Rattus norvegicus: one gene and its partner. The protein of the gene in region 1 interacts with the protein of each later gene in a pairwise test. Links are inferred from orthologs where the notes say so. Each region holds a gene or a part of one and is shown in the gene's direction. Other genes may lie near its edges. The genes, in order: Aldh16a1 and Dera.

Region 1 (16,266 bases):
GCTACGCTCCCATAAATGTTTGCGTCTTTATTTCTAACAGATAAGGTTTGCGTTATATAACTAACACTGTCCTAGCATTAACTGTCAATCATGAGTGTAGTTCCTAGCTCATGTTCACAACGGCCCCACTTCCAAAATTGGCTCTGTCCTCTTGGACGCTGCAGTTTGGAACATTTGAGTGACAGTTTTTCTTTTCTTTTTTTATGTGGTTTTCTTTTTTTGAGTGATTTTATTTTATTTTTTAAGATTTTAAATATTTATTTTATATATATGATGAGTATGTTGTAGCTGTCTTCAGACACACCAGAAGGTGGCATCAGATCTCATAGATGGTTGTAAGCCACCATGTGGTTGCTTGGATTTGAACTCAGGACCTCTGGAAGAGCAGTCAGTGCTCTTAACCACTGAGCCATCTCTCAAGCCCCTTGCCTTTTCTTTTGCTCTTTGGGACAGGGTTTCTGTATGTAATCCTTCCTGGCTGTCCTGGAATGCTCCGTGTAGATAGTCTGACTGGAACTCAAAAGCAATTCTCTTGCCTCTGCCTCCCGAGTGCTGAGACGAAAGGTGTGCAGCCCCACCCCAGCCAAGATTTCTTTTTTGTTATTTATGATTATGTGTGTGTATGCATGTGCGCATGCTTATGAGTGAGCAGGTAGGCCAGCAGAGGGGTTAGATCCCCGGGGCTGGAGTTGCAGGTGGCTGCGAACTGTCAGAAATCAACTGTGAGGAGTCCGCAGGGAAGCTTTCGAGGCCGCTCTTCTGCTCCAGCCTTCTTTCTTTTCAAGGGCTGGGATTCCTCATGTAGGCCAAACTGGCTGTTCTTTGAACTCCTAGGATCCTCCTCCTCTACCTTCCTAACACAAATTACAAATGCGTGTGCCTTGGTCCACTTTTCTCCCCTGGATCCTGGGGATTGAACTCAGGTTCTTTTATTAATTGCTTTGCTGGGCCTGGAGAGATGGCTCAGTTAGGAGCACTGACTGCTCTTCCAGAGGTCCTGAGTTCAAATCCCAGCAACCACATGGTGACTCACAACCATCTGTAATGAGATCTGATGTCCCTTTCTGGTGTGTCTGAAGCTACAGTGTGCTTATATATAAATAGAAAAATAAATTTTAAAAAAATCGCTTTGCTGCCTGACGTACTTCCCCACCATGCACTATTTTGAGACGGAGTCTCCCTAGGTAGCCTAGACTGGCTACAGTAGTGATCCTCCTGCCTCTCCATCTCTAGTGTCGGAGTTATAGGCACGTGGTGCACACTGAGCCCATTTTGCTTTAAGGAAGAAAAGTAAACAAAGAATGAGAGGCCAGTTGTCAGGATAAGGGAAAGCATCTGAGAATGGAAAGTAGAGGTTGGATTTAAGAACAGCGGAATCTAAGGAGGAAGAGAAAGCAGCATGTGTGCCTGGAGAGGAAGCTGAAGCCAAGGTCACAGGAGGAACTAAAGTGGCGATGCTGTCTGTTTATGCATATTTGTTCCCTCTCCCCAGGCATGGGGGTGGTTTACCAGAGGCAGAGTTATAACCCCTGGCTAAGCCTGGCAGTGTTGGCGCACACTCAGGAGGCAGAGGCAGGAGGCCAGCCAGGTCTAAAGAGCTAGTTCCAGAACAGCCAGCGATACAGGGAAAAATGGAAAAATGGAAATAATAATAATATTAGTGTTATTAATAATAAACAAAGCAGTAGTGGTGCTCTTGGCTAACATGCTCAAGGCCTGGGTTCCATCCCCAGCACCAAAAAATAAACAGAAACACCACTGACAAATATGTTTCCACAGAAACAAAACTGACAAAGTCACTTCTGTGAGGATGGAAGTGAGGTGTGTGTGGTGTGTATATGTGTATATACATATATATTCACACTTAAGCCAGGCATACCAGTGCACACAGTGGATGGATGCAGGAGGATCTGGAGTTCATTCATGACACCACAGTGAGTTTAAACCAGCCTGGGCTATTATTACATTTGATCCTGTCTGAAAAAGAAAGAAACAGAGAAAAATTAGAGTCCAAGTTCTTACCATTGTAGCCCATGCTGTCCTGAGTCCTGGCCTGTAACAGGCTATACATGCATAGGCTGTAGCAGCAGTCCAACTAACGTAATGAGTTTCAGATAACATTTTAACCACAGTAAAACAAACAAGTGGGCTGGAAGTATAATTTGATAGTTTAGGGCCCTGCCCAAAACAAAAACAAAAGGCACCCAGGAGAAGAGTGAGCTGAGGGCAAAGGGTGCAAACGTCCCCTCAAGGAGAGCAAGGGGCTGAGCTGCCCCAGCTGCCTCATCTGCTCTTCTCCAAACTTCTTTCTTCCTCCAGGCCTGGCTGGACACCCACAATCGCCTCTTGGGCCACTATGTCAATGGGATGTGGCTGAAGCCAGAACACAGGAATCCAGCGCCTTGCCAGGATCCCATCACAGGTTTTTAAAGAGTCCAGTCATTCAGGAGGAACAAAGACCTTTCTCAGGGTGTCAGCCATGCCATCCCTGATATCTAGCCCCTGAGTGCAGGGACAACCACTGATGGTGGTGGGGATGGGAGTTCTCATTTCTCCTGATGACTGTCTCAGTAATTATAGTTCCTAGTGCCCCAAAAGGCTTCTGAAGCCCCTCTTTACTAAATTCCCTTCCTCAAGTCTAGTATAATGGCTCAGACCTCTAATCCCAGCAATCCAGAGGCTGAAACAGGAGGATCATGAGTTTGAAGCCAGCCTGAAATACAAGAGTGAATTCCAGGTCAGCCGTGGCTTCATAGTGAAACACTTTTTTTTTTCTTTTTTCTTTTTTTCGGAGCTGGGGACCAAACCCAGGGCCTTGCACTTGCTAGGCAAGCGCTCTACCACTGAGCTAAATCCCCAACCCCTAGTGAGACACTTTTAAAAAGAGAGGAAGGGGTGAAGAGACAGCTCAGTGGTTAGAAGTGAGTACTGTTCAGTACCTAGTACCCATGTCAGGACCAGGCTGCTCAAAACCACCTGTAACTTCAGGTCCAGATGATCTGATGTCTTCTGACTCCTATACATACATACATAATACATACACACACACACATACAGGCATACATCCATATAAGCATATATACATACAGGCAAAACACTCATAACTAATTTTAAGTAAATAAAAGTTTAAAAACACAGCTGAGGGCTGGAGAGATGGCTCAGAGGTTAAGAGCACCGGCTGCTCTTCCAGAGGTCCTGAGTTCAAATCCCAGCAACCACATGGTGGCTCACAACCATCTGTAATGGGATCTGATGCCCTCTTCTGGTGTCTAAAAACAGTTACAGTATACTCATATAAATAAAAAATTTAAAAAAATTAAAAAAAAAAAACAAACCATAGCTGAGCATTAATGTGTTCAGGAGGCAGAGACAGACAGATCCCTGAGTTTGAGCCCAGCCTGGCCTACAGGGAGAGTTCCAGGACAGCCAGGGCTACACAGAGAAAACCTGTATCAACAAAACAAACAAACAAAAGGTTTAAAAATCAGAGAAAGAAGGAAAGAAAGTTGACTCCTGTCTGCAGGGCTCGGTCAGAGCAGTGACCAGTGACTAGAGGAAGGCCTGAGATGCACAGGGAACTTCTGACACAGACTTCCCCCATCTTGTCTTGGCAGGAGAAAACCTGGCCAGCTGCCTGCAAGCAGAGGCCGAGGACATCTCTGCAGCTGTGGAGGCTGCAAGGATAACATTCAAGACCTGGAGCCAACTCCCTGGAACTGCTCGGGGCCAACATCTAACCCGGTGAGGAAGCCCAGGCAAGGTCCACAGAGGAAGAGATGGGCCTTGTCCCTCAGGATTCACAGGAGACTGGAAACAGTGACTCCGCTTCCTAAGAGCCTTTTGAGTGTTCATGTTACCTGAATATATATGGTGCTTCAGTGGCCAGAACAGCCCTTGTTTCTCCCAGTTCACTGGGACTGGTGGTTTCAGAACATCTTAGAGCCCTGTTTCTCAGCACTTCATTAGAATCTGAGCTCCCTGCTCAGACTATGGGGTCAGCTATAAAGATCCCATTTCCCACAATGCAATTGAATCAGAGACTCAGATTCAAGTCCCCAGTTACCTCTGGTCCTGGCTGGTAATTAGTGACCAGGACCGTTCCTCAGCATCCACACAGAGTTTTGACACTCTCCTAAACTACATTTCCCATACAGCTTTGGTATCTGCTGTCCCTGATAAATTATGGATCCGCCCCTAGTGTCTGTGGGGATTATAGTCCAGGTTGCTCTGAGCATGGACCAATTCCTTGTATCCTCCAAAGGCTAGCCAAGGTTATTCAGAAGCACCAGCGCCTGCTGTGGACCCTGGAGTCCCTGGTCACTGGGCGGGCTGTTCGAGAAGTTCGAGATGGGGATATACCACTGGCGCAGCAACTGCTCCACTACCATGCCCTCCAGGCACATGCGCAGGATAGCGCACTGGCAGACTGGGAGCCCTTGGGTGAGAACCTGTAGGCCCTCAAAGAGCCCTCCTGACCCAGTAAACCAACCCGTCCATTCCCCTCATTATGAATTCTTTGTAGGAGTCATTGGCCTCATCCTGCCGACTTCTTTCTCATTCTTGGACATGATGTGGAGGGTCTGTCCTGCCTTGGCTATGGGTAGGTGAGGGCTGTGGTTGCCTCCCCCTGTCTTTTCTCAGAGGATGGTTGGGGTCTGAGGAGGAGGGTAGAGGTCTGGACTCAGATCTGAAGAAAGAGAGCTGGACTTTAAGGTTCCTTGGTTGTTCCCCTCCCCTAGGCTGCACTGTGGTGGCCCTTGTGCCCCCATCCTTCCCAACACCTCTCCTCCTGGCTCAGCTGGCAGGGGAGCTTGGCTCCTTCCCAGGGATCCTCAATGTGGTATGTGGCCCTGTCTCACTGGGGCCTGTCCTGGCCTCCCAACCTGGAGTGCAGAAGGTGGCCTTCTGTGGCGCTGTGGAGGTATCTTTGGGGATGGGAGTGGGATGGGCACAGCTAAGGGCCAAGAGGCTCCTGTCACAACTGAAACCCATGGGTTCCCTCAGGAAGGACGTGCTCTACGACAGACTCTAGCAGGCAGGGGAGCCACACTGGGCCTGGCCCTGGGCACAGAGTCCCTGTTGCTGCTAACAGACTCAGCAGATGTGGACTCGGCTGTGGAGGGTGTTGTAGATGCTGTCTGGTCAGACCGCAGCCTGGTAAGATCTATATGCTCATGTCCCCAAAGTCCAGGGCCCACCATATCTCTCCAAATACATGGGTGTTTGTTCCCACCTTGTTTTTACTTTCTGGTCTTTGGGCATTTTTATTATTTGGGACAGGGTCTTATATAGCCCAGGCTGGCTTCCAACTCACTATGTAGCCCAGGCTAGCTTTGAACTCCTAATCCTGCTGGGGTTCTTGGTATATGCCACCATTCTGGGCAAGTCACGGATTTTCTGCAGTGCACCTCTTGCCTGCTGCTGCTCCTCCTCCCTGAGGTCCACGCCTCTGTGGGAACCTGTTCTTATATTCATTGCCCCTGATTTTGACCATTTTTGATGCCTTTTCCCAACAGGGGGGACTCAGGCTCCTCATCCAGGAATCTGTATGGGATGAAGCTATGAAGCGACTCCAGGCCAGGATGGCACAGATACGGAGCGGGAAAGGACTGGATGGGGCTGTGGACATGGGGGCTCGAGGAGCTGCTGCCCGAGACCTTGCCCAGAGCTTTGTGGATGAGGCCCAAAGCCAGGGTGGACAGGTGAGCCCCAACTGCACAATGGAGTCTTAGACTTTGACTAGCTAGCTCCTATGTCAGAGTCAGAAGGTCCCAGACCCTAGATGCCTGGGTCCGAGAGAAGGACTAAAGCCTGCCTCCTCAGTTTGCAGAAGAAAGTTGGGGTCTGGCCTTCAGTGTCTGAGGGAAGAGGCTAGGGTTCTGCGTGTCCAGGTTGAGGGGGGAGCCTGGGGCTTGGACCCCTGAGCCTGCAGGAGGAGGCTGAGTGGTGTCCCTGGGTCTAGAGAAGACAGGCATCTGATCTGTCTCCATGTCCCTCCTCCCCAGGTATTCCAAGCTGGTGATATGCCCTCCAACAGCCCCTTCTTCTCTCCAACCTTGGTCTCTGGTCTTCCTCCAGCAGCCCCATGTGCCCAGGCTGAGGTGAGGCCCCTGAGACCACAGTCATCCTGCCCCACCCTTCCACCCTCAGTAACTTGTGGGCAGCACCCCATACCTTAGAATGTTTGAGTGACCCTGTGACCAACCGGGGGCTGGAAATACTAGGACTTCCTAAATGAGTAAAGTATTGACCCTAGGGCTTGCTCTCCAGCTAACACCTGTCCTTCCTAGGTGCCGTGGCCTGTGGTTATGGCTTCACCTTTCCGCACAGTCAAGGAGGCACTGGCCCTGGCCAATGGAACACCCCGGGGAGGCAGCGCCAGTGTGTGGAGTGAGAGGCTAGGGCAGGCCCTGGAGCTGGGCTATGGGTTAGTTGGTACTTACTCACCTGCCTATGCCCTGTCTCCCACTCAGGTGTCTCCCTCCCCCTTACCCAGCTTTCCATCCCCTCCCCTGGTGTCTTTTCCTGCCTCCTAGGCTCCAGGTAGGCACAGTATGGATCAATGCTCATGGCCTCCGAGACCCTGCGGTGCCTACAGGTGGCTGCAAGGAGAGTGGGTCTTCCTGGCATGGAGGGCCAGATGTGAGTGCCCATCGCCTCTTTGTCTCTTGACACCTCATACCCTCACCTAATACCTCTCACCTAGTACCCCTCACCTAGTACTACCTGGCCTCCTGGTGACCACACACCTTTCACAGGGCCTATATGAGTACCTACAGCTCCTGGGAACACCTTACCGGGAGTCCTTCCTTTGTGAGAGTCTCAACTATGACACATTTGGCCTTGCTGTGTCCTCCAGCCTGCCGTCTGGGCCAGAAACAGGGCCAAGGTGAGCTGTTGAGGTCTGGCAGCCTAAGGGTGAGAGGGAGGGGCCGAGGGAGGAGGAGGTTACAGCCAGTCTCGGGGTCTCGGTTCTTAGTGCAGCTTTCTGGATCCTAACCCCAAGTGTAAAGAGAATCTCAGTTCTACTTAATGGCTTGAGTTTTTCCCAAAGCAAGAATTCAGGGAGCACCCAGATGCTCATAGAAATAGGAATTTAGAGTGTTAAGAGTTTTAGATGACCTCAGAAACTCATGGGGTAGAAATTCGGAAGCCTCCAGAGGCTCATGGCAGCAGGTGTTTGAATCCTCCTAGACGCTCATGAGAATAGAAATTTGAGTCCAGAAGGTTCCTGGCAACTGGGAGGTCCAACCAGTGTAGTAGACCTGCCAGTGGCCTACATGGACTCAGAGCCTCCTCCTACCCCACTCTGCAGCCCAGCACCTCCCTATGGGCTGTTTGTCAGGGGCCGTTTCCAGTCTCCTGGGACCCAGAGCTCCAGGCCCATCAAAGATTCTTCGGGCAAAGTCTCCAGCTATGTAGCTGAGGGTGGAGCCAAGGATATCCGAGGTGCTGTGGAGGCCGCTCATCAGGCTGCCCCTGGGTAAGAGGGTCAAATGGAAGCCCAGAGGTAAGGGTATCTAGGGTGGGAGTAAGCTTGGGACTGGAGCCCTAGGTTGAGTCTGTGGATAGAGGTGGCCATCTGGGAATAGCTAAGGTCAGGCTGTACCCCTAACTTGCGTTGTTTGCCTACAGCTGGGGAGCCCAGTCTCCAAGGGCCCGAGCAAGCCTGCTGTGGGCCCTGGCGGCTGCTCTGGAGCGGAGGAAGCAAGTCCTGGCCGCACAGCTAGAGAGGCACGGAGCGGCGCCTACGGTTGCGGAGACTGAAGTGGAGCTGAGTGTGAGGCGACTCCAGACATGGGCCACCCGGGTTCAGGACCAAGGCCAGACACTACAGGTGAGACAGATCTAAGCAGCTGATAGGACAGTCCCCAGCCAAGAGCCAGAGCCCAGGCTCAACATTTGTAAAACAGAGGCAGAAAAATCACAAGTCGAAGGTCAGCCTTGACCACAGTGAAACCCTGCATTGAAAAAACAAAGGTATTGCTGAGCATGGTGGCCTTCATCCCAGCAGTAAGGAGCTGCCCTGCAGGGGATGGGTTTGACCTCAGCACCCAGGCCAGAAGCCTTACCACCTCATGTAACTCTAGCTCCCAGAGACCTCACACTTCCTTCTAACACTCACAAGTGCACATAACTGTGCCACACACACACACACACACACACACACACACACACACACAATTAAATAATAAATCAAGCCTTTAGTCCCAGTACTCAAGAGGCAGAGGCAGGTAGATCTATGTGAATTTGATGCTAGCCTGGTCTGCAAAGTGACTTCCGGGATAGCCAGGACTGCCCAGAGTGTTGAAAATCCAAAACTCAATCAATTGATCAATCAGTCAATCAATCAAGCTGGGTTTTGGTGGCGCCTGTGTTTAATCCCTGTACTCAGGAGGCAGAGGCAAGCAGATCTCTGAGTACAAGGCCAGCCTGGGCTACATAGGGAGCCCTGTCTCAAAACAAACCAGACACAAGCAAGTGTTGGAATATGGTTCAATGATAGAACACTTACCCATCCTAGCATGGTTGGAGCCCTCTGCAATACCTCAAAACACACTGATTGCACAGGCCCAAATCTCAGCTACTCCAAAGACTGAGGCAGGAGAATGGCAGGTTCAAGGCCCAGAGGCCCAGAGAGGTTAAGTAACTCATGCTGATGAGTGGGCATTGGAATCCAGAGTTTTAGGCCCTGAACGAGCATCCCCTGGTCACACTTTATAGGAGCTACTGTGGAATAGAAACATATCAGATGTGGGAGAATGGGGCAGGCAATAGAGAGGCCTCTGGGAACTTGTTGATGTGTCTGTCATCTGTCCCTGTAGGTAACAGGATTGAGAGGCCCTGTGCTCCGGCTTCGAGAGCCACTAGGAGTGCTGGCTGTGGTGTGCCCAGATGAGTGGCCGATGCTGGCTTTTGTGTCACTACTAGCCCCTGCACTGGCCCATGGCAACGCTGTGGTCTTAGTACCTAGTGGATCATGTCCTCTGCTGGCCTTGGAAGCCTGTCAGGTAAAATCACCTGCTTCCCCTCCTGCCTGCTGCTCCTGGGTCTTCCAGAGCTCAGCTGGCCTCCTCCCTCCTGGGTAACCATGGTAACTTGAATTTCAGCATCCCATCTAAGTCCTATTCCTTGTATGAGCCCCTACAGCTACTGCCCCACGAGGGCCACTCTTCAAGGGCCACTGATGTTCAACCCTGGGTGTCCCACTCTCTCATCCTAGGATATAGCTGCTCTGTTTCCTGCTGGCCTGGTGAACGTAGTGACAGGAGATCGGGACCATCTGACCCGCTGTCTGGCCTTACATCAGGATGTCCAGGCCATGTGGTACTTTGGTTCAGCCCAGGTACTTGAGGGTACTTAACCTTCACCAACAGACTTCTGTGCTAGGAGCATGGCCTCATCCCCTAAAGACCTCTGTTCCTGACAGGAAGGAATGCCTTAGCAACAGCTGTTGAGGCCCTACCCACCCTGTACAAGCTCAGGACAAAGGAAGAGTCTTCAATTGGGGTTTGGGGGACACAGTGTTTCGAGACAGGATTTCTCTGTGTAGCCCCTGTTCTAGAACTCACTATGTAAGCTAGGCTGGTCTTGAACTCACAGAGATTTGCCTGCTTCTGCCTCCCAAGTACTGGGATTAAAGGTCTGCATCACTGCTGCTCAAGTGCCTAAAGCCTCCCTTGCCCAAAGACAGGGTGGTTTTTGGGAGACCTATTGCTAAGGTATGCACCCTAGCAACATTCCAAGGCTCTCCCCTCCTAAACCATTGTTGCGCAGGGGAAGTCCCCATTGACAAGAGCCTTGAACTGGGTCTACTTCCTCTGCATCTAAAAGGAGTGTTGGCCAGGATCTAAATGCCCAGCCTTGTCAGGTCTTGTTAGCTCTTTTACAGGTGTTCGTCGCTGAGGAAGCAGCTGTTTGGCAACTGGCAGTACTAATTTTGTACTCTCCATCCCAGGGCTCCCAGTTTGTGGAATGGGCCTCTGCAGGAAACCTCAAGCCCGTGTGGGTAAACAGGGACTTCCCAAGGGCCTGGGATGTGGAAGTCCAAGGGTCAGAACAGGAGCTGAGTCTTCATGCAGCACGAACCAAGGCCCTGTGGCTGCCAATGGGGGACTGAGGTCGAAGCCACCCACTCCATCTTTCATGCCAGGGACACCAAGTGCTTGGAACGTTTCTCTCAGATTTCCCATGACTTCAAATAAACTGAGTGACATTGACTTTGACTACATTTGAGGGTGTGGGAACAGTGGCTTCTTGTGTGGCCCGGTAGGCAGCCCTGGGAGAGCACTGTTTATGTAATGCATAAAGGGAACTCAGCCCCGTCCAGCACTCTGGGGTCAGGAGGAGGTAGAGGGAAGTCCCTGGAAGGCTCTGTCTGTCCCCTTTATACTTGATTCCAGCATTGGGTAGGCCACAGGGCCACCCCTTCCTGTAAGTCCCCTCTCTGACTAGGTCTATATCCTAGCACAGCCCTAGTATGTCAGCCCACGCCAGGGGCCACCACTGCTGTGCCAGGTTCTGAGGGCACAGCTTCAAGGCAAGGCCTGGCTTCCTTGAGCCGAAACTCATCAGGTCTTGCCATCACAGCAGATCTCCATGGATTTAGCCTTTAGTTTGGGTTTTAGGTTTGTGGTTTTGCTTTTTTCTCCCCCTCTTTGGTCTGTTTCACCTTAGGGAACAGCTAATCTGCACATCCGTTCCTCGTGTCTCAACCTGAATGCTGCTTACCGTCAGGTGCTTCCAACCCGCGACGTCTGCCTGTGGGATAGAAGGTGCGGTTTTTGTTTGTTTGGTTGGTTTTAGATTTTTTTTTTTAAATATTTTATTTATTTATTATATATTATGATTACACTGTCGCTATCTTCAGACACACCAGAAGAGGGCATCAGACTCATTTCAGATGGTTGTGAGCCATCATGTGGTTGCTGGGATTTGAACTCAGGACCTTGGGAAGAGCAGTCGGTGCTCTTAACCACTGAGCCATCTCTCCAGCCCTGGTTGGTTTTAGATTTATCTATTTATTTTATGTATGTGAGTACACTGTAGCTGTCTTCAGACGCACCAGAAGATGGTGTTCGATCCCATTACAGATGGTTGTGAGTCATCATGTGGTTGATGGGAATTGAACTCAGGACCTCTGCAAGAGCCATCTCTCCAGGCCCTTGTTTTTGTTTTTTAAGCAGGATCTCACTATGTAGTCCTGTGGGACCTGGAACATACACACACACACACACACACACACACACACACACACACACACACACAGACACACACTCTCTCTCTCTCTCTCCTTTTTTTTTTTTTAAAGATTGTTTTAGGGCTGGAGAGATGGCTCAGTGGTTAAGAGCACTGACGGCTCTTCCAGAGGTCCTGAGTTCAAATCCCAGTAACCACATGGTGGCTCACAACCATCTGTAATGGGATCTGATGCCCTCTTCTGGTGTGTCTGAAGACAGCTACAATGTGCTCACATATAATAAATAAATAAACCTTTCAAAAAAATTGTTTTAAGCCAGACAGTGGTGGCTGTGCACGCCTTTAATCCCAGCACTCCGGAAGCAGAGGCAGGCAGATCTCTGTGTTTGAGGCCAGCCTGGTCTACAGAGCAAGTTCTAGGACAGCCAGGTACACTGTCTCAAAAGAAAAAAAAATTAAAGTTTCAGGGGAGTTTTGTTTTTGTATTTTGTTTTGTTTTGTTTTTTTCAGTATGCATGTATGTGGGCATGCACAAAAGTCAGAAAACAACACACAGGGTCAGTTCTCTCCTTCACCATGTTGGTTCATGGGATCAACTCAGGTGTTTATACTCAGTAGTTATAACCTTTTTATAATCATTTTATCAGCTGAGCCATCTCACCCCGATCTGGAATTCTTGTGATCCACCTATATATATCTATCTCCACCCTGTGTTGTTCCTTAATCTTCTCTGCCTTTTTACCATGTGAGGTCACAAAAGAAGACAGAGTGTCTGTTCATTCAGGCTGAACATGAAGGCCACAGGCAAGAGACGTTGGAGAAGAGCCACCACCATGGCCTACCTAGCCTTTCACACTCACCTGGATCTGTGGGCTACGGCCAACTGGTTTACTCACTGCATATGGTCAACGCTCCCCCCCAATTCCACTCTGCTCACTAATGTTGCCCAGTTCCCTAGGCTGATGGAGGCTGTCTTAGTCCATTTCCTTTCTTGTATCTTACGGTTTGGTGATGGTGTTCTGTTTGTTGGAGTTTGGTTTGTTTGCTTGGTTTGGTTTGGTTTGATTTGGTTTGGTTTGGTTTGGTTTGGTTTCGAGAACCACAGTGTGTGTGTGTGTGTGTGTGTGTGTGTGTGTGTGTGTGTGTGTGTGTGTCCCTGGTGGACTAGAACTTCTATGGCTATGGCTATGGCACCAAAGACGGCCTTGCATTCCTGATTCTCCTGCCATTGGGATGACAGACTTGAGCCATCAGGCTCAACTTCCTCTGAGCCCATCTTCTGAGCTGTAACTGATTATCACAGACTGTCACTTGCCAAGAGTAAAGGTCACAGTACATGGCTGGTGAAGCTGGGAGCCCCATCTGGTTGGCATTTGTGAAGCTAATGGCATGACAGCTTCTAAGAGAACAAAGCCTGTCCCAGGGACCCTGATAACATGATATAGTGTGTGCGTGTCGCTGCTGCTGCTGTGATGACACACCGTGACAAGAAGCAACTCTGGGAGGAGAGGGTTTATTTAGCTTACACATTCCAAATCACTGAGGAGATCCAAGGTAGGAACTCAAACCTGGCAGGAACCTGGAAGCAGGGGCCATGGACAGGTGCTGCTGACTGGCTTGCTTCCTGTGGCTTGCTCAGCCTGCTTTCTTAAACCACCCATGACCACCAGCCCAGGGGTAGCACCATTCCCCATGGATGTAACCTATGTCATTAAGAAAATGCCCGGGGTTGGGGATTTAGCTCAGTGGTAAAGCGCTTGCCTAGCAAGCGCAAGGCCCTGGGTTCGTCGGTCCTCAGCTCCGAAAAAAAGAAAAAAAAAAAGGAGATTATTTAAAAAAAAAAAAAGAAAGAAAGAAAGAAAATGCCCTTACAGGCTTGCCTACAGCCCATCTTATGGAGGCCATTTGACAATAGAGGTTCCCTATAGTTTGTGACTGTAGCTTGTGTCAAATAGGCATAAAACCAGTCAGCACAGACAGGGCAGTTTTGGCAGGATCTCTCAGTTAAGGCCAGCCTGGTCTACAGGTCAAGTTACAGTTTAGCCGGATTACACAGAGAAGCCCTGTCCCAAGGAAGGGGAGTAGGACTGGAGGGGAAGCAGCATCGTATCTTTTTTCTTTTTCTTTCTTTCTTTTTTTTTTTCCTTTAGTGATCTTCTTTTATTTTTGAATGAGGGTGTCAGGTTCCCTGGAGTTACAGACAGTTGTGACCGGCCTTGTGAGTGCTGGGAATTGAGCCAGGGCCTTTTGGAAAAGCAGGCAATCAGTGCTCTTAACCACTGAGCCGTCTCTCCAGCCCCCATGACTTTATTTTAATGGTGTCAACGGGTATGGACACGTGAGGTCAGAAGAGAGTATTGAATTCCATGGAGCTGCACCCACTGTGAGTGCTGGGAAATGAATCAGGTCCTATGCAATGATACAGACTCCCCCCACCCCCCACCCCCCGGAGCTGAGGCCCAAACCCAGGGCCTTGCCATGCTCTACCACTGAGCTAAATCCCCAGGCCCTAGTACGGACTTTTAATCTCAATCATCTCTCCAGTCCCATTTCTTCTGGTTTTTGAGACAGAGGCTCGATGGGTGTGGTAATCCCAGAGGCAGGGCAGGTGAGCCTCCTTAAATTTGAGGGCAGCCTTGTTCATATATCTTGTTCCAGGCCAGGGCTACATAGTGTACTTCGTAAGACTCTCAAAAAAGAGAGGTAGTCTGACTAAGCCTGGCTGAATTGAAACTCACCATCCCAAGCTGTTCTAGAACTTACTGTGATTTTCCTGCCCCAGCCTTCAAGTGCTGAGATCCCAGGCCTGTTGTAGGACTCCATTAAAGCTCCACCTGGAGATGCCAGCAGTGTGAACGAACACAGGGGACTAAGTTTCCACATGTGAAAAAGTTAGGGCACAGTGAACACAGCACAGCCCCACTTCCCTCGCACCCACTCCTAAGCTTGTTGGGCTTCACCCAGCAGTAACCTAAACTTTCCACTCTCCAGTGACTGGCCAAAGCAAACCAAACAGGCACACCAGAGTTTGCAGAGCAGACCTGGGCTTCTGCAGGAGAGGCTTAGACGGAACTACCCAGGCAGGAGAGCCCTGCCTCGAACGCCACTGAGAGTGTCTGCTCAACAGTCGGCTATCAGCCTATCATGTGGGAAGTGCTGGGTTCAATCCCCAGAACTGCACAAAAAGAAGACACCTCGTATTTGTGTCATTTACTAACTCACTCCCAGTTTAGGGTAGGAAAACCTTCAGCTTACAGAGGACAAAGGGCCGGTTCTCACAGTGACAAAGCCAGCACCACTGTGACACCTGTAGACTGCATGTGACAGGTTCCCTGAGGTGCTATAAAAAGCAGCTCAGTGGGCTCACCGTGGCCTGCACAGAGCTGGGGTGCAGAGCACAGAGGAGCATAGATGGCAGGTCAGAGCTGGGGGTTGATTGTTTGGAAGACAAAGTCTAGTGTGATCCAGGCTGGCTTCAATCTCACAGCGAAGGATGATTTTGCCTGGATTACTGGCGTACTCTGCCTAGTCTTGTTTCTGCCATGCTGGAGGTGGAATCTAGGACTTTGTGCGTGCTAGCCAAGCACCATGGTATCTGCAGCCCCAGGATCTTGAGATGAGATCTCCATACATTATCTAAGCTGACCCTAAATCCAAGAATAAGCAACCCGCGACTCACAGAGAAGATTCGTCTGCCTTTGCCTCTCCTGTTGGAATTAAAAGTAGCACCACCACATCTTGCCTATTATATGACACAGGGTCTTCTTTGTAGCTAAGGCTAACCTTGAACTCCTGGTCCACCTGCTTCCAATGCACCATGTTATTCATTCTCGATCCTTTCTGAATTGCCTCTGTGTGAACTCAGGTGCAGTTCAGGTGTCAGCCCTGATAAACGATGGCGCTCCCCATACTTGAAAAATCCCAAGGATTTATCTCCTAGAAACCAAAACCCAAACCTAGACACATCCTGTGCTACACAGCAGCGGTGAGCTGGGAAGAGGTCGGGACCTGCCAGTACATTGATCAGATAGACTCTGGGGTAGCTGCTGTTTAGGGAAGACATAGTTCTGGGTGCAAGGACTTTGCAGGGTGGAAACAGCCACTAAAGAAGCCAAGACAGGGTTGGGGATTTAGCTCAGTGGTAGAGCGCTTGCCTAGGAAGCGCAAGGCCCTGGTTCGGTCCCCAGCTCCGAAAAAAAAAAAAAAAAAAAAAAAAGAAGCCAAGACAATGGGGAAGATAAGGAAACCATGGTGTGTGTTAAATGGTGATAAGGACAAAGCAGGGTGAGTCTGGTGCTGCAAGGGGTGCAGTTTGGGAAAAGGTATCATGAATCCTCTGCCTATGTGTTTAATCAAGGACGGGGATGAGATGGAGGAGAACACAGGAGCTTGGAGGGAAGATATTCCATTCTGGGGAAACAGCTAGTGCAAAGGCCCTTGGGCAAGAGAATGCCATCTGACACACCACGGACAGATAGTGTTGGAAAGGAACATTAATAGCATGAGATTAGGGGTTGGGGATTTAGCTCAGTGGTAGAGCGCTTGCCTAGGAAGCGCAAGGCCCTGGGTTCGATCCCCAGCTCCGAAAAAAAAAAAAAAAAAAAAGAACCAAAAAAAAAAAAATAGCATGAGATTAGCAGAGAGGGGTCAGGGCAGCAGAGTGAAGTAGTGCAGCTCTGTGTGGCCACCTTTTTTGGAGGGGTGAGGTGAGACTATGGATTGGGTCCAGGGCATCAAGCAAGCTAGTTCTCTGCCATTGACTCACTGGTGGATTCTAGGCGGCTGCTCTCCAACTGCGCGGTGCACCTGTCTGTCTTTTTACTTTTTGAGACAGGGTCTCAAAATTTATTAATTTACTAATTGCTCAGGCCAGCCTTGAAACAAGACCAGCCTCATTCCTCCTGCCTCAGGGTCCTTGGTAACTGGGGTGACAGGTCTGTGTTACCAGTCCCTGCTGAAAGGCTGGATTTTTTTTTTTATCCCCAAATGAATCAGGAACCCAAAGGCTGAAGGTTCACAAGTTCTGTGCCCCAGGGAATAGTTGGGGGCTAGGCAGTAGGGAAAATC
Region 2 (16,751 bases), on another chromosome or scaffold:
GCCTGAAGCCTGCACCTCGCACCCTGCACAATTGAGAAGACATTTAACATCCCTTTGTACTGTAGTGATTCCTACTGTAAAATATTGCTCTTGTTTACCTTTGTCAGTGTCGAGCTAAGCAAATGCCTTGTCCCTGACTTTTGATTTTTCTTTTTTTTTTCGGAGGTGGGGACTGAACCCAGGGCCTTGTGCTTGCTACCACTCTGCTAAATCCCCAACCCCTCTTTTTTTTTTTTTTTTTTTTTTTTTTTTTTTAAAGCAGGGTTTTAAGGGTGCTCTTCATCATGTATCTCTGGCTGGGTTCTTTTTTCTTTAGCCTCTTGAGTGCTGGTATGCAGATGCGTGCCACTGCTCAGCCTGTATGACCTTTTTGTATTTACTAAAATAATGCATGTTTATAGAGAAAAATAGAGTGAAATTTTTCAGAAGAAAATGAACTAATCAGGCATTGTCACTGCTCTAAGTGGTGGAGCTTGGGAGAATGGAGGTGACAAAGGAGGTGGGTTAAAGTCTCATGCAATAGCCAACTTTATTCAGAGCATCAGACAGTTTATATCCACTGAGGGTAAAGAGAGAGGCATCTTAAGAGCTTAACCTGTACAGTCACAAGGCTAGTTACATGTAATTGAGTAACAACAGCAAGTACTAGTAAGTAATCTGAAGTGAGGACTTTCCTACCCCCTGCACAGGAGGAGCATAAATCATTCCAACAGCTACTCCATGCTTTAAAGAAACTGAGGTCAGGAGACTCCAGTTTTCTTGAAGAGTTCTCACAAGCATGCAGAATTCTCACAGAACTCCATTCCTGGACTGAGTTCCAGCATGGCATGATGTTCATCTCTAAACCTGAGCCCAGTAACAGTTAAGGCGAGGAGGATCTCAAGTTGAAGGCCTTTCTGGACTCCGTACTGATTCTGTCTCAAAAACAATACAAGGTCCCAAATACGGTTTATCAGCCAAGACATTGATCAGAAAAGTGGCTCCTGCTCAGAATATGGAGTTCCCACTACTAAATGTCTTCCTGAGATGAGGTCCATTAGGGTATAACAATATAACAATCTTAAGTCATATACACCTAACTGAATCTCTATTTACTGTGTATTGGGTTTCAGAATTCAGGAATAATTTTTTAGGATTAATTTTAATATGGCTAGATAGTTATTTATGCAGTGTTAAAAATTTTGTAGACATTTATGTTTTTGTGTTCTTTCCTTCACACACAGTCTGGAGCCAATTAAATCCTTTGAAGCTCCTGCAACCATCAATTCTGCATCTCTTCATCCTGAGAAGGAATTTCTTGTTGCTGGTGGAGAAGACTTTAAACTGTATAAGTATGATTATAATAGTGGAGAGGAATTAGGTGAGTCTCATTCTCTCCCCTTAATCAGGTATCTCCCTCCACCTGTGGGTCCTGACCCCTTCTAGGGATGTGTGTGTCTCAAATGACTCTTTCACAGGGATTGCTGAAGACCATTGGAAAACACAGGTATTATGATTCATAACAGTAGCAAAGTTTTAGTTCGACGTAGTAACAAAAATAATTTTATGGTTGGTGGAGGTCACTACACCACCACAGCTGTGTTAAAGGGTTGCAGCATTAGGCAGGTTGAGAGCCACTGCCTTAAATAATTTACTATCAAAATATTATGAATGCCTTAGGTATTTACGTATGGTTTGTTGAAAGTAAGTTTTCCAGCTAACTAAAACTGGAAACTCATACCTTCAAAAACAAAGGTGTTATCCATTTTTGATAGAAATACAGACCCTCTGACAAGACTGAACTCATTTCCTCTTATCTGAGTCTTATCTTTACACTGATGTTCTGTAGTTCACTGATTTTTGATTCTTTATTGGGATGGAATATTTGTATTTCAAGTCAAATATGAAACATATGCAAGGGTATTTTGTTCTTTCTAAGGAGAGAACAGGTATATAATCCTGTTTACCCAGCCTCCTTTCTTCAACCTAAGTCTCTAGAGAATGGTGGGGGAATCATTGGTTTAACAAGGACCCTTTACAAAGAGTAATATATATAGGATTATAACATATAATATTTACTATATTTAATTTATTTTAACATAAAGTAATTAATATAATTTAAATCGAAACTAAAGTATAACTTAATATAGTAATATATAAAATATTAAGATGAGTTATATATTGACATGTAATATATATTATTTTATATATATAATATATTATTATTAGTTTAATAGTTCTTAAGAAGTAGAATGGCTGATGTATGATTAATTTGAAGCAGAAACATCCTAACTTTATCATGTGTAGAATAGTAAGTATGCTAGATAGGTCAGAGAGCACAATTTTTAGTACCTAACCAAGTCCAACTGTGTTTTGCTTTTAGTTTAAAAATCTCCCTTTCTGTCTGTAAACTGGCGTCTCTTCTTACCTGTATCTAAGTATTCTGGTTTTCCACCCACAGAGCTAACTCACTGGATTTATACACAAAGAGCAAGAAACGGCTTTATTTTGTTTCTTGGGAGAAACTGGTGGACCGGGGTTGCTTAAGTCAGTTCTATAGAATGTTCAGTCACATGTCCGTTTTTTTCGGCTTGAGAGAACTGTGGCTGGGCTGGGGCGGAGGAGGTGCTCAGCGTTGATGATCCAGGCTGTGTTCAGAGGAGAGATAGATAGGTGTGGGTTTTGGATACAGTTGTTCTCATCCAGTGTCTGTTCATGGAACTTTTGGGGTTGTGTCTGAGGGTTGAATCCAGGAGGTTTGTATATGATAGACAAATATTCCATCCTGGTCCCTCTACTCTTAGATGCTTCTATTCCCTGGCTAGTCAGAGATGGAGGAAACTCCAGAATAAGATGGAGAGGCATAAGATTATATATGAGAGATTCGTAAGTTTTCCTGCAGTAGAAAAACCTTCCCAATCACTACATTCCCGGTATTAAAATGCGGGGTCAGGATTGAACCTGTGTCAGCACTGTGGTGGAATTAGGAAGCCGGATAGATGGCCTGGTTAGGGAGTCAGGGGCTGGCGTCTGTAAAGAGCTCCATCTGCTGGCCCTCTGCAGGCATGGATGGATCGGCTCTAAAGCAGGGTGAGTTCAGGACCTGGACACTGGGGTAAGGTTCACAGACTTGAGCTCTAGTCTAGAATTTAGTCTTTATTGACAGCTTCTCAATTCTCAGTGGGACATGAAACTTCATTTTCCACTTTTGAAAGACAGTCTGTGTTGGGACACGGTCAAAAGAGTGACTCATAGTGAATAATACTAAGGGTCTCTCAGGGGACCCTGAGAGAGTCTGCAGGAAAAAGTCAGAGGCCTTTCTTTCCCCTCAGCTGCATTTTGTATACTGAAACCGCGATAGCATTGTCCACAGCATCAGACTGGTCCACCCCATCTTTCAGGCCATCAGATCCCATGGCTTCCAGACAAGAGCTGTGTGGATCAGTGAAAGTTGACAGGGCTGCCTCTGACATTGGACAGGAAAGGGCTAATTCTAGGGAAATGATCCCCAGCAGTACAGACGGACAGTATCTCTTCTAGTACAGTGCTATTTACCCTAATAATTAGCTTTGCATGTATTTAAATCTGATAACCCCACTCTTCACTGTTTTCAGAATCCTACAAAGGTCACTTTGGCCCCATTCACTGTGTGAGATTCAGTCCCGATGGTGAACTCTATGCCAGTGGTTCTGAAGATGGGACACTGAGATTGTGGCAAACTGTGGTTGGAAAGACCTACGGCCTGTGGAAATGCGTGCTTCCTGGTGAGGACGTCTCTTCAACGTTACCAAATTATGCTGCGGAGACTGTGTGTCCTTCACTAGTTCTGTTGCACTGTGTCAGTTGCCTTTAGACTTTGAGTTCTGCATATGGCATAAGCAAGTGAAATCATGCTGCTAACTGAGCAATGACCTTTATGTGATGAATTGAATGAACTGATTGCAAAATTTATTACAAAGGAGCTCGGGAGATGGCCCAGGGGTTCAAAAGCATACATAAAAAAATAAAATAAAATAAAAATAAAGCTTGTTAGAAGGCAGTATGAAGAATTTACAAGTATCTATTCAATTTTTTATAGTATTACTTGATCCTTACCACTGAAAACATGTTTTTAAGTTTAAATAACAAACAAACAAACAAACAAAAACTCCAAATACTTATTACTAATCCCAGAGTGACTGTTGTACTAAAGGTGGCTTTAGATGTCTCTTTTAGACTCACAGTGACTGTTAAGAGGAAGTGTGCTGTGTGAGTTGGTGAACACCTGCCCTGCTTCATAGTCAGTCACCCCGCTTTTCTCTTCACAGAGGAAGATAGCGGGGAACTGGCAAAGCCAAAGATCGGATTTCCAGAAACAGCAGAAGAAGAGCTGGGTAAATACAAATTAATGAACTTTTCTAAGGGTCCTGGGTATGTAAAAATTCAGTGTATGAGCATTTTTGGTCCATGGCAAAAGAGACTTAATAAGTGAAGTACATTATAGGAAGCTTAAGTGTGAGTGTGTAAGCATTCGCTCCCGAGTTCCAGGCTCGTGCACGTGGACAGGACTGATGGGCTCCCTCATACGCTCAGGAACAGGTACTTAAAGGTTCCCGAGACAGTTTATAGCCATGAAGGGAGGCAGAGAGGGCTTCCTGCATAAGGGACACTTACATGCGAGGAGACCGCAGGACGGACAAGGTGGCTGGTGAGGATGGACAGGAGGGCTCAGCAGAAAACAGAAGAAAGGCAAGGGAAGCAGCGTGAAGGATGTCTCTGTCCAGTCTGAAGAGTCAGGGTGAGATGAGGTGAGAGGCTAGGCCAGCCGGCTCCTGGTTTGCTCTGTTACAACCTTGATCGTTTTATAAACTAGGAGAGTGAAAAACCTTTGATCTGAATGAAGGTCTAGATGTAAAATTAGGAAATTGTCTTGATGTATAGTGTGGAGAAAGAGTTAGACTAGGGACAATAGATTCAAGGTTAGTAGCCACAGGACAGACACCAAGAACAGAAGGAAGGTGGGCTTGTCTTAGATGCATAATGGCTAGATTGGAAGATTGGTCATTACTTGTCTTGTAACTTGGGGCGGTAAGAAGAGTTGACCGCAGATTCTGAGGCTAACCCCCGCTTTGGATGCTATTAGAGCCTGCCCCCAGAAGCAGTGCTTAATGGTTATGATTTTAATTACATGCCCTTGATACTAGGAATTGATTACTAAAGGAAAGGACAGGACCCACAAAGGCATGCTTTTAATTAGATGCTGACTGGATAGTTGGAGTCAGCCGAAGTTTATCCCGAAAGGACAGGGATTGGGGTTGGACAAGGATGTGAAGACCAAGAACGGGTGACTGTGTCTAAGCTCTGCCCAGGGGTTTGGTGGCCGGAGTCCTGGGGTAGTGTGATGTTCAGTAGCATTTCTATTTTCTCATTCTCGCCACAGCATGCTTGAAAAGACCCTTCTATTTATCCCTCCTTGTACAGAAGTGTAGATTTCCTTCTTCCTTTATTAAATCTGCTATGGCTTTGTCTTTTAAATGCAGAAGAGATTGCTTCAGAGAATTCAGATTCCATCTATTCGTCAACTCCTGAAGTGAAGGCCTGAGCAGCGTCAGACGTGTGCCGCAGATGCCATGCAGTTGATGGACTGAACAAGCAGAGACCGGCATCGGCCTTCAGTTACTCTGCCTGTGGCAAAGGGGACAGACTGTTGGGGCATGGATTGCTCCAGTGCACGAACCACTACAGTGTTGCCTGTGAGGGAACTGGCTGAGCGTGCGGTGCAGGCAGGAGGAGTCTGTTCACCTAGTGCCTGCCAAAGCCTGCTGCCGTGATGAAAAGCCAACTTAGTGTCCACTTTACCCCAGATCTCCTGTAGCTGTTTCTGTCATGGAGAAGAAAAATATATTGGCCTATTTTTCTGACATTTCCCTTGAAGAATGCCTTTTTTTCTCTGCTTAGTTGTGAAGAAGAGGAAATACATGATAAAGTAACTGGTTTGATCTCTTTCATTGTACACTGACGGCTTCTGGACATCTAATTTTTTAGTTATCTAAATAAAATGCCTCTAAAACAATAATTTTCTGTTTCTTTGGGAAATTCTGACATGCTTGAATATTAAAACTAAATATTCAGAGTTTTCTGTATCATCCACAGCCAGCAGTGGCAAAAGACAGTTTAGTTAGAGCCTGAACTAAACATTTCCTAATTTTGAAATTCAATTATTTAAACTTGAAACTTTCCTATCTTTTGCTAGGTGTTCATTTATCTTCCGGAAGGGTAGAATTGCTTTTCTTGTTTAAACATGCATGTTAGTTACTAAAAAGAAAAGCAATTAGGAAGACAGGTAAATAAGCGGAAGTCCCAGTTGTTCTGAAAACCGCTGTCCGCAGTCAGACATCTGCTTGGTTGTACAAATACCCACATGACTGTGAAACTGGGTTAATCATTAATTTGAAGTAGTTTATGATGTATCAGACTTTATCACATTGAAATTTGGGTCATTCAAAAAGTCAACCTTTAATACATTGGATCAGTTGAATAAATTTGTAGTTTATTATTTTATAATATGAAGAGATTAAATTAGTAATTTGGAAATAAAGATGAACAGCTTGCATTAATTTGCTTTCTTCTAATTTGTCTTTTGAGTGACCTTTAATACTTTGATTAGAAAAAAGCTTTGGCTGGTTTGTGACAACCAGAAGGCGGCACTACAAGCAGCGGCTGGGGAGCCAGGGGGACGCCTGTCACAGACGCTGATGAGCCTCAGGCAGTGGTGTTCCTGTGTCCATGTTTAACATGCTTGGTTCTCTGCTCTGTAGCAGTACTGTTAATGTATCAAGATTAGACTGAGAGTCTGACCCTAAATAAAGTTGAATGCATCTTTTATAATGGAAGTTGCTTGAGTTCATGAAATTAATAAAATAAGGGCATTTCTTTTTGTGCCATTGGTTTCCTGTTGCTGCAGCAAGTTCGTAGCCCGAGCCAGCATGCTTACTAAGGGACTGCAATGTCCCGAGGCTGAAACAAGTCTCACTTGAATAAGGTCCAGGTGCTGGCAAAGCTGCATTCTGTCTGGAGTCACCAGGAAAAGCTTTGCCCTCAGCTGCTAGAAGTCATCGTGGCACTCGCCTTCCCTCAGCTAAACCTGCTTCTCAAGCTTCTTTAGTGACTGTCGCTACCTTAAATCCAGGTGCTCAAATGAAAAGGCCTGGATGACCCTACATGCCTGTTCGAGTCCTACATCTGGCTGTGCTTATCCTGGGAGCTCTCCTAGATCTGTTCAGGGCTTCTCTTCTGTTACTTCCTCCTCAGGCTGCCCACGGTTCTTGGATGTTGCAGTCTACTACACCCTGCCTTTGCCTGGTTCTCAGCCTTGCAGTCTGCATTGTAGGAAAGGCTTTAGAATTTGAATCTTAAGGAGGTTGGGTCACTTGGTTTGGGTGCTGGTATTTAATCCCTTGATAGTGTGCCAGTTTTCTCATAGCCTGTTGAAACTTTCATTGGGGCTGAAGCTTCCAAGTAAAAAAGCGCGGACTGGAGACTCAGCCTAGTCAGTAAAGGGTGTGCTGTGCGGGTGTGAACATCTGAGTTTGCTTCCCCAGCAGCCACGTACAAAGTTGGACATGCTACTACATACATGTACACTTCTGAAATCCCCGGGCCATAGGTGATAGCTACATATTACAAGATTGCTTGGTCATCGTGGCCAGGGCAAATCTGTAGGTTTTTGTGTTGAGATGTGAATATTTTGGCTATGCATGATGTTGGTGTTCTTGGTGGTCTAGTGGGTTTCAGATAAACTCCAGGCTTGTAGTGCCTGCTCTTAAGTTTTGCAGGGTAAGTGAAAATAACAATGGTATTGTGAAAATGATCTAGACACATCCAGAATACTTAGAAGTAGTTGCGTATGGGCTAGACTACATGGTAGCTCTGTGGGGGAAATAAACTGGCTTCTATCTAGATAAGTAATTGTGTATCTGACACTACCTTTAATAGCTTCCATTTATCATGTCCTCACATATTTATGAACCATGCAACTTTGCATGCAAACCTATTTTGATCACCTAGTTTTGCAGTAAGTAGACTATAATGTCCTAGAACCTTCTAGTCATTGTGTAGAATTGAAATATGAATGGTTCGAGTTCATTAGAGCCCTCTCTACCAGATTGCTGCTCAATTCTCAAAGTTTGGGTCTCTGGGTATATGTACATCTCTGGCAGGACTTTCTGGGATGAAAATGCTTTCATACATCTGAAAACACTAGAGCAATTGATTCATTAGACAAGCTGGTAGCTCAGACTTTGAGCTCAGCAAAGTTCCATGTGCATATAGATACAATGGCTAGTGCCCTGTGCTGTGAACCTAGAGTAATTCAGAGAAACCAGGCTGAAAAAAAAATCAGAATCACAGAATCTCAACTTTAGAAAGCCAAGAAATTGGCTGGATCCTCTCTTCAGATAAGGAAAATGAAGTTCACAAAGGCCAGTGATGTGTCCTAGGTTACATATTCAATTATTCATAGAACTAAGTTAAAAACATCTTTTCAGAAGTTGAGAGTGCTTGTACTCCTTAAGACTTCAGTATGGTTCCCAGCTTATAACTAAACGTGGTCCAGAGGGTCCTGTTCTGGCCTCTGCAGGTACCTGTACACATGTGCTGTCCATACATACATACGTGTGTATACACAAAGATGAAAATAACATGTTTTTTAAATGGAAGAAACCAAGCCTTCTACTGCATGTGGCATCCGCCTGTAATCCCAGCAGTGGGGAATCTGGGCAGGAGATTTAACAAAGCAGTCTCTGGGCCAGTCGTATTTACAGAGCGAAATTTCTGTCTAAAAACAAAACGAAAGGGCTGGAGAGATGGCTCAGCTGATGAGAGCACTGATTGTTCTTCCAGAGATCCTGAGTTCAACTCCCAGCAAACACATGGTGGCTCAACAACCATCTGTAATGGGATCCGATGCCGCCTTCTGGTGTGTCGGAGGACAGCAACAGTGTATTCACATGCATAAATTAAATCTTAAAAAAAAAAACAAACCAAAAACGAGAAACCAGGTCTTCCAAGCTTATGTTCTAGCTGCTCTTTCATCGAGCCCAGACTAGAAATCACAGCGTGTTCTAGGTCCTAGAGTACCTTGGCTGTCACCTGAGGGCTCCGGAACACTGCCCACCATTCGGGTCCAAGGCTGCAGTGCTCTGCCCATGCAAGAAGGAATCCAGTCCTGCCACTCACATGATCCTACAGCTAAAGTTCCTAAGACTCACTCTGTCTAGCTCAATTGGCAATGTAAGCATAATGGAGCTGGGGCGTGCTCAAGTCATGTGCCTGATCCGGAAGGACAGGGAACAGGTAATGTCCGGGTTGGGAGCCAAGGCCAAGAGCTAGCTCAGAGACAGGACTAAAGGGGCGTGGTTCTAGAGGGCGTGGCTTGTGAGGGGCAGAAGGGGCGTGGCTCAGGGCGGGCATTTGGCAGGAAGGAGGAAGACCAGGCCTGTGTGGCGCCCTACCCTGGTGCAAGAGTTACCTTTCAGCTGTGGCCGCAATGGCTGCTCACTGCCGGGGCACAGAGCTCGGTAAGGGCCGGCGGGTTACGCTCCTCTTCGCCAGGTTGGGGGTGTGGGTGCCCAGGGCGGTCCCCGGAGAGCGGAGTCGTGAACTGAGGCAGAACCCCGGGACAGCCCTGCCTTGCTGTCTTTGCAGTTTTTCCCTTTAAGCGGAAGCAAGGAAGGATTCATTAGATCTTTCCACTTTAAGCTCTGTGGTCGCAGAAAACAAACCCCTGCGAAAAACCTGAGGGAGTATTTGTGCCATTTACAGCCGGATTCACGTAGCCATTCCCAAAATTGACTGCGCTGGTGGAAGAGTGGTCATGGCCTTCCGCTAAAAGTGATTTTAGACCCTTACACAAAATGTCCTTTTTAAAACTATTTTTCATCTTATTGATGCTAGTTCAGATATTTCTGGGGGAAAAAAGTCTGTAATTCAAACGTGGCAAAAAACGTGACTGAGCCAAATGTCAACGATTTAACTTTGTATGATAGTTTGCTTCATATCCTGGACCCTCTTAGTCGTGCGATTTGGGGTAAATTACTCACTTTGTGCTTACGTGCCGGCATCTGTAAAGTAGTTATTAGGAAGCTACTTCTGTCTGAAGGTGGTTTGGATAGTGTGAGGACAGGATACTCAGAGCTTCCAGTGGATTTCTCTGCATTTACTGCTGATAAGCAACGATAAAAATTGGGTAAAGTTCTCTTCTTAGGGGCTGATTTTGCGTAGTTATAACACATGGTTACTCTTTTCTCTTCAAAAGGGACTTGCTCCACGAATAATCAGTCTAGACTTTAAAGACGTTTAGAATTGCATGCTCGACAGGTAGCTTCTGTACCAGGTTCACCTCAATGAACTCCTTCCAACAGACGGTGGCTTACACTTTATCCCTTAAACGTTAGCTGCGATCCAGCGTACCCTGGATTGGAAGAGTGAAGATGGGGGCTAAAGGTTGAGGCTGAGGTGTGTCTGCATCTTTGTACAATGTCTCTCTTTTAAAAGTTTCACAGTTGCCTTTCGGGTGATGCAATTAAAGCGTTTTTACTTTGCTGTTGCACATACCTGTAACTCCAGCATCCGGCGTGAGCAGGCCGGCCTGGACTACATCGGAAGAACTTCTCTCAAAAAAAACCCAAAAAACAAAAAACAAAAAAAAAACCCAAAAAACTACCAAAACCCCACCTTTCGTGTGTCTCAAAATAACAGTGTAGAAATTAAGAGTTGCTATTTAGAATAGTAGTAAATGTGTGCTCACGCCTCCAACAAAAGCGGATACTTTTTACCATTCTTGTTAAAATCAGGTGGAGCGCAAGAGTCCTTATCAGCTGGGAACGGCTCGAATCTAAACTGCTAAAGTAAATCACGTGAATTATATATGTACTATGAAAAAAACTCTTCTGTCTTAATTTCAACACGGCCTCAATTGATGGTTTTTGAGTTTTTTTGTTGATTAAAAACATCTTAATGTTTTTTATGAACGCTACCTTTTAAAAAGAAATTAGTTTTATTTAAACACATTCATATTAAATTTTTTTAGCAAAATGCAGTTATCACCAGGTGGATTGTAGACTTCATTAGTCATTGTCATTTATAATTTTTTCTATTTTACTTTTAAGTGTGAGTTTTGTCTATACATGTCTCTTTACCATGTACATGCAATGCCTGTTGAGGCCAGAAGAGGGCATCCAATCCCCTGGGATTGGAGTTTCTGATGGTGTATGGCTGCCCGGTGAGAGTTGAACTCAGGTCCTCTCAGAGCTCTTGACTGCTGAGACATATCTCTTCAGCCTTTAATCCAGATTTTAAAAATCGAATTTACTTGTCTACTTTGTGTGTGTGTGTGTGTGTGTGTATGTATGTGTGTGTATGTATGTGTGTGTGTATGTGTGTGTATGTATGTGTGTGTATGTGTGTGTATGTATGTGTGTGTGTGTGTGTATGTGTGTGTGTGTGTGTGTGTGTGTGTGTGTGTGTGCGTGCGCAGAGAGATCAGAGGGCAGCTTTCACAGTTGCCTCACCTTCCACTTTTGCCATCCAGGATTGAAATTCAGGATGTCCAGTGCAGCAGTAAGTGTCTGCCCACTGAGCCATCTGGCTGGTCCTGAACTTGCCTTTCAGGGCGAGAACACTGCAAGGAAAGTTTCTTCCCAGCAGGGCATGTGTAAAAGAGGTTTCCAGATAGGGATGCTCTGGTTGTAAATGGAGGTCCAGCCGTCTGGGTCTGGGTGGTTCTGGGGCACACTCAGGGAACTGCCATGCTGATTAATCCTTCCAGGCTGTGTCAACATGTTCTAGACTTTTCTGACTTTTCCTTACAACGTAGGTGCCTGTGAACATGTTTTTCCCTTAGTTCCCCATGTAACCTATATGGACGAAGGCCCTCACAGGAGGAACAGAGGAACACATCTTGAACTATTTACCGTTTGGGGGAACCTGTCTGTGCAGCTGGGACCTGTGTGTGGACAGGAGCTGTGAGGGCCATGCCTTCCTAGGTTCCAGTGCCAGTCAGAGGCCGTTTGATAACTTCTGTTTTCGGTGGTGGACAGTGGTTTTGTCTTGGGGTTTCTATAACCGATGAAACACCGTGAGCAAAAGCAAGTTAGGGAGGAAAGGTCCTATTTCCCTTCAGGAATTCAGGGCAGGAACTCAACTAGGACAGGGGGTAGGAGTCATGGAGGAGTGCTGCTTCCTGGTTGTTCCTCATGGCTTGCTCAGCCTGCTTTCTTATAGGACCCAGGACCATCAGCCAAGGGATGGAACCACCCACAGTGGGCTGGGCTCCCCCTCATCAATGACTGATTAAGAAAATGCCCTGCGGTTCTGTCTACCATGTCCTGATCTTGTGCAGGCTTGTTTTCCCAGTTGCCATTCCTTCTTCTCAGATGACTCTAGCTAATGTCAAGTTGGCATAAAGCCTGCCAGCACAATTTCATTTCAAATTAGTGCATGCTTAGAGGTACCTGGAAACGGGGATTTTGTACTAGGGAACATTTTAGCAATGTCTTACTTTATGTTGGTCGTTTCTGTTAGGGGAAAGCTTCAAGCAGATCTCAACTGTGAAGAAACAGTTCACCGGACACTGTTATTAGTAGGTGGATACAATTATGGTGTAGGGTGTTCAAAACAGAAGGTAGTCTTGGTGTAGCCTAAAGGAACAGAAGGACTAAGTCAGAGCTGCTCAAAATCCACTCTTTCTGCCAGAAAGTTGTTCTAGAAGCCAAACCCTGCTAGCAAGCACTTGGGCAGAAAGTCCGCTCGGCTTTTATTCTACAAAGGTGGTGAGTGTGTCTTTCCCCATTTGCTGTGATCCAACTTCATAGTCTTCTGAGGTTGGCTGGTTTTTGTTTTTATGCATATGTGTGCTTTGCCTGCGTCTGTGTCTGTGTACCATGTACATTCCTGGTACCCTTGGAAGCTGAAAGAGGTCATCCCATCTCCTGGAACTGGAGCTTTGTGCACTCTGGGAGCTGGGAACAGGACTTGGGTCCTCTGCAAGTGCAGGCAGTGCTCTTAACGACTGAACCACTTCAACCAGCCCAATTCAAAGTCCTTTTTAAAAAGACTGTAAATGTGATATCCGTTCATCTTTTACCTCTGTGCGTTTATGAAGTTAGATATGTCTAGATTTTTTTTCAGTGTTTCTGAGGTAGCGTTTTAAAAATTGTTAATATTTATTGGGTCTAATTTTAATTTTATTTATTTTATGCGTATGGGTGCTTTGCCTGCATGTGCATTTATGTATCATATGGGTGCCTGGCCTTGAGTCCCCTGGGACTGGTGATACAGATTCTGGGTATTGGGACTCATACTCAGGACCTCTGGAGGAGCCTGAACTCTTTTAGTTGAGTGTGACCTTGAACCATGATCCTCCTGCCTCCACCTCTCAAGTGCCAGGATTATAAGAAGCCTGACTTAGACTTCGTTAAATGAGTTGTGATAACAAGATGTTCTCGCTCCCCTGTGTCATTGTCGTTTATTTTTGTGTTTATAGGAGCTTGTGTACGATTAGCAACATAGGAAGCTCGTTTCTTCCTTCCTCTGTCTGGACTCTGGGCTGCTGTATGCATGGCTACCCTCCTTACCTGTTTGGGCTTCCATGCCCCACTGTGGACTTGAGGGTGTCCTGCCCAGGTACCTTGAGGGTACCTTGTTCACCTCCTTTCTTACCTTTGCCCTGGTGGTTCAGGTCTGCCCTCTAAGGAAGACAGGGGAAAGGAGCCAATGTGCATTTTATAAAGCAGTATTTTATGTGCACAGAGATTTGGAGAGTCCTGTGTGGAGTGCCTCTTGTTTTATGGCCCCAGGGTATGGATCCCACAGGTAGCTGACCTGTTCGGATCTCTAAGAGCACAGGCGTCTCAGCCAGCGTGTATATGTAGGACAGTGAAAGTCACTCAGGTGTTGGCTGAGCGTGCTGCTCCAGTGCTGTGATTTGATACCAGTACTAGGGGGTGGAGACAAGAGGGTTAACAGTTTTGAGGCCAGCCTGGGGTAGTTTTGAGACAAGCTAAACTAAGCAAAAATCACCACGAATGAAGGGAGGAAATTGTATTTGAGCAGGTAGAGTAAGGAAACCCCTAACCTGACTGCTCCATTATTAAAGGGAAGGTTCTTATTGGGGATGAGTGAGAGATGATATCCAGAGGCCACTGGAAGAGTCTAGAGCAGAGAGAAGAGAAAGCAGACTGGACATGGCCAGAGCTGGGGAAGCAGGAGAGAGCAAGACCGCATACAGGGAGAGCCTCCCTGTTCACCTGTAGTGAGAGAGGGACTCGCTGGATTGTAAGGAGGATGAGTAACTGTGGGTACCAAACCTGTGAGCTAGAGAGTCTAGAGTAGAGGGGGTAAGGCAGACTGGGGTGCTAGTGTGGAATTTGTAATGTATAAGAGAAACTTGTGATACCGGGGGAGCCTGGAGGCCAGCATGGGCTTCGAGATGCTTCGAGCCATATGTCCCTTCCACCAGAGGTCAGGGAAATGACTCCTTGGGGGGGACAGAAAACCTGTTTCACAGGTTCCTGAGGAACACTGGCTTCTACCAGTCAAAAATCCTGCTATTGACCAGCTGGACATCTAACACAAATGACCTCAGAAACACAAAAGGACAGGAAGAGATGGGGTCACACCGGTGAGTCCAGGGGAGGCTTTCTTTCCTAATGCTGTTCCTCAGCGGATCCTTTGTACACAGGGATTGAGGGAAAGCAGCCTAGAAGGGTCCTTTAAACACAGGAACCCAGTGCTCAGATTCTCGTGTCCACCCTGTTCTGCTGTAGTGGCTGTGACTAATACATTGAGCGATTCTGCATGTGGGTCACACAAGTACGGTGATTGCTCATTTCTGTATTTTAAGTTGGGTGTCCTTTTTATGAACACTTTTATTCTGCTTTTGAAGTCTGCTATCTTTTGTTTATAAGCATGTACATGAGGCTATCTTTTATCACTCTGATGCCGTTTTGATAAACAGAAAGCTATAAAGTAATAATCAGAGGTTGTTGTGTAATTAAATAACTAAAGGTCCTCTGTGGTACCTGCTGCACTGAAACACTTTTTTTTTTTTTTAAATAGAAGTATCTAAGCCCTGTGGATTTTAATTATTGGGAGGGAAGGCAAACTTCAAGCCTCCGCCTGGAAAGAAAGACTACTAAATGAGACAGCAGACAGAGCCCTGGAGGACGCGATTGAAACATGTCACTAGAAATGGTTTAAGTGGAGAGTTCTGGCCCTTTCAAAACACTGCCTGTCACTTGAGGATTGGGTCACCTTGAAATGTGTTCATCTTTGAATTAAAGGCATGAAAAGGCACTTTGAAAATTTTCAGTCGACTTTGGTGTGTGTTGTGAGCGTCTGTGGGGTGTACTTCCTCTGCTGTCTCCCCAAAACAGTCGGTTCCCTGGAAACCAAAGTGGTCGCAAGAGGAGGATAAATGTTTAATCTCTGCGCCAACAACCCTACATAGTTTTTTAAAATGCTGAGCCACTTACATCCCAACTCCTTGCTCTCTTTGTATACTCGGGCTCTCCTCCTGCAAAGACATGGCAGGCAGAGAGCCGCTGCTGGTAATTGCTCTCCAAAAGGGCGCCTCGTGGCTGGTGCCAGGGTTGTCTTAGGCTCTCGCTAATGATGCCAAGTTACGCTCGGTGAAGGAAGGGAGACTACTGAAATTATCCAATCAGAAGCCTGATTCTGATGAGCGTTTCAGTTAACACCTCAGGGACATACTTTTGTCCTCTTCGTTCGGACGGGATGCGTTTGTGTGTGTGAGTGTGCAGTTCATTCGCGTGTCTACAGAGAAGTGTCTCAGCGACTAACAGCACTGGCCACACGCGCCTCAAAGCTTGACTTCAGTCCTAGGAACCTAGATTAAAAATATCAGACACGTATCTGTAATCCCAGCCTCCTACAGTAGGAGGTGGAGACAGGGAAGCTACAGAAACTCTAGTGCCCTCTGTCCCTAAACATTCAGCAGGGGAGAAATAAGGACCTGTCCGAGGGAAAAGGAGAGAACCAACTGCCCTCCACATATGAACCATGGCACACACATGCCTAATGTACACACTTTAATAGACAAACAAGCCATTTAAAATGTAAAAATGTCTACAGCTTAGTAGGGTTTTCTATAGTTTGTTACAACTTTTTGGTAGGACTACACAGAGAAACCCTGTCTCGGGGGAAAATGGATCTTTCTGCTGTTAGTAATTTAATTAATGTAAAGAAAAGTTGGATGCCTGTGTCTCTGCCGTGTGACCTTCTTATGTCCCTCTTCCTTATCTAGCAGTGGTCCCTTCCCACAGTTTAACTTTCGCAAGCCAGGCTGAAACCAGACATCTGCGAGTGGTCATCGGAGACTCTCTGCTTGGCTGTGTGTGGTTTTCCCAGGTGCACTAGGGCCACTTTGATCTTGACAGGGACGTCTGTGCCCTGGCTTGACCGTTCTTATTCTGTAAGAAGAGTCTCACGTGTGTTGCTGTTTAAGCACATGATGATAACCAGGAGGTGATGCTTGTGTGGACCTGGGGGGGGGGGCTCTTTGTGTCTCTTGCTGTTTTTGAAAATCTAAAGTTACTCTAAAAAGTATGTTTGAAACAGAAGAATCCGGTGTACAATCTCTGAGACTCCGAGGGCTGTCCTGGCTCTGTATTTGAGCTGCGTGATCCTTCAGTGGCCGTTCCTGCAGCTGTGTGGGCTGGTGTTCTAGGCTTTCCCCTTCCTTGTCTTGCTGGTGGCAAGGCTCACTGGCTTCC

What was found.
Region 2: the proteins of Aldh16a1 (region 1) and Dera interact in binary tests that used the Homo sapiens proteins (3 or more experiments, as listed by UniProt). The link is inferred for Rattus norvegicus from reciprocal best matches to the Homo sapiens genes ALDH16A1 and DERA.

What each region holds. Positions count from the first base shown.
Region 1 is NC_086019.1:104,757,154-104,773,419, reverse strand, and holds the end of Aldh16a1 (aldehyde dehydrogenase family 16 member A1), read left to right. Parts: intron 1-2,319; coding exon 2,320-2,422; intron 2,423-2,447; exon of another isoform or gene 2,448-2,737; intron 2,738-3,614; coding exon 3,615-3,741; intron 3,742-4,261; coding exon 4,262-4,440; intron 4,441-4,522; coding exon 4,523-4,600; intron 4,601-4,739; coding exon 4,740-4,921; intron 4,922-5,004; coding exon 5,005-5,157; intron 5,158-5,516; coding exon 5,517-5,702; intron 5,703-6,005; coding exon 6,006-6,101; intron 6,102-6,290; coding exon 6,291-6,427; intron 6,428-6,536; coding exon 6,537-6,642; intron 6,643-6,758; coding exon 6,759-6,889; intron 6,890-7,315; coding exon 7,316-7,483; intron 7,484-7,635; coding exon 7,636-7,837; intron 7,838-8,825; coding exon 8,826-9,011; intron 9,012-9,223; coding exon 9,224-9,346; intron 9,347-9,958; coding exon 9,959-10,120; 3' UTR 10,121-10,220; downstream 10,221-16,266.
Region 2 is NC_086022.1:172,385,540-172,402,290, forward strand, and holds the start of Dera (deoxyribose-phosphate aldolase), read left to right. Parts: upstream 1-9,431; 5' UTR 9,432-9,505; coding exon 9,506-9,536; intron 9,537-10,498; exon of another isoform or gene 10,499-16,751. Other genes in the region: Strap (serine-threonine kinase receptor-associated protein), read left to right, coding at 1,224-1,360, 3,594-3,743, 4,287-4,352, 5,499-5,560. UniProt on the Homo sapiens protein: Catalyzes a reversible aldol reaction between acetaldehyde and D-glyceraldehyde 3-phosphate to generate 2-deoxy-D-ribose 5-phosphate. Participates in stress granule (SG) assembly.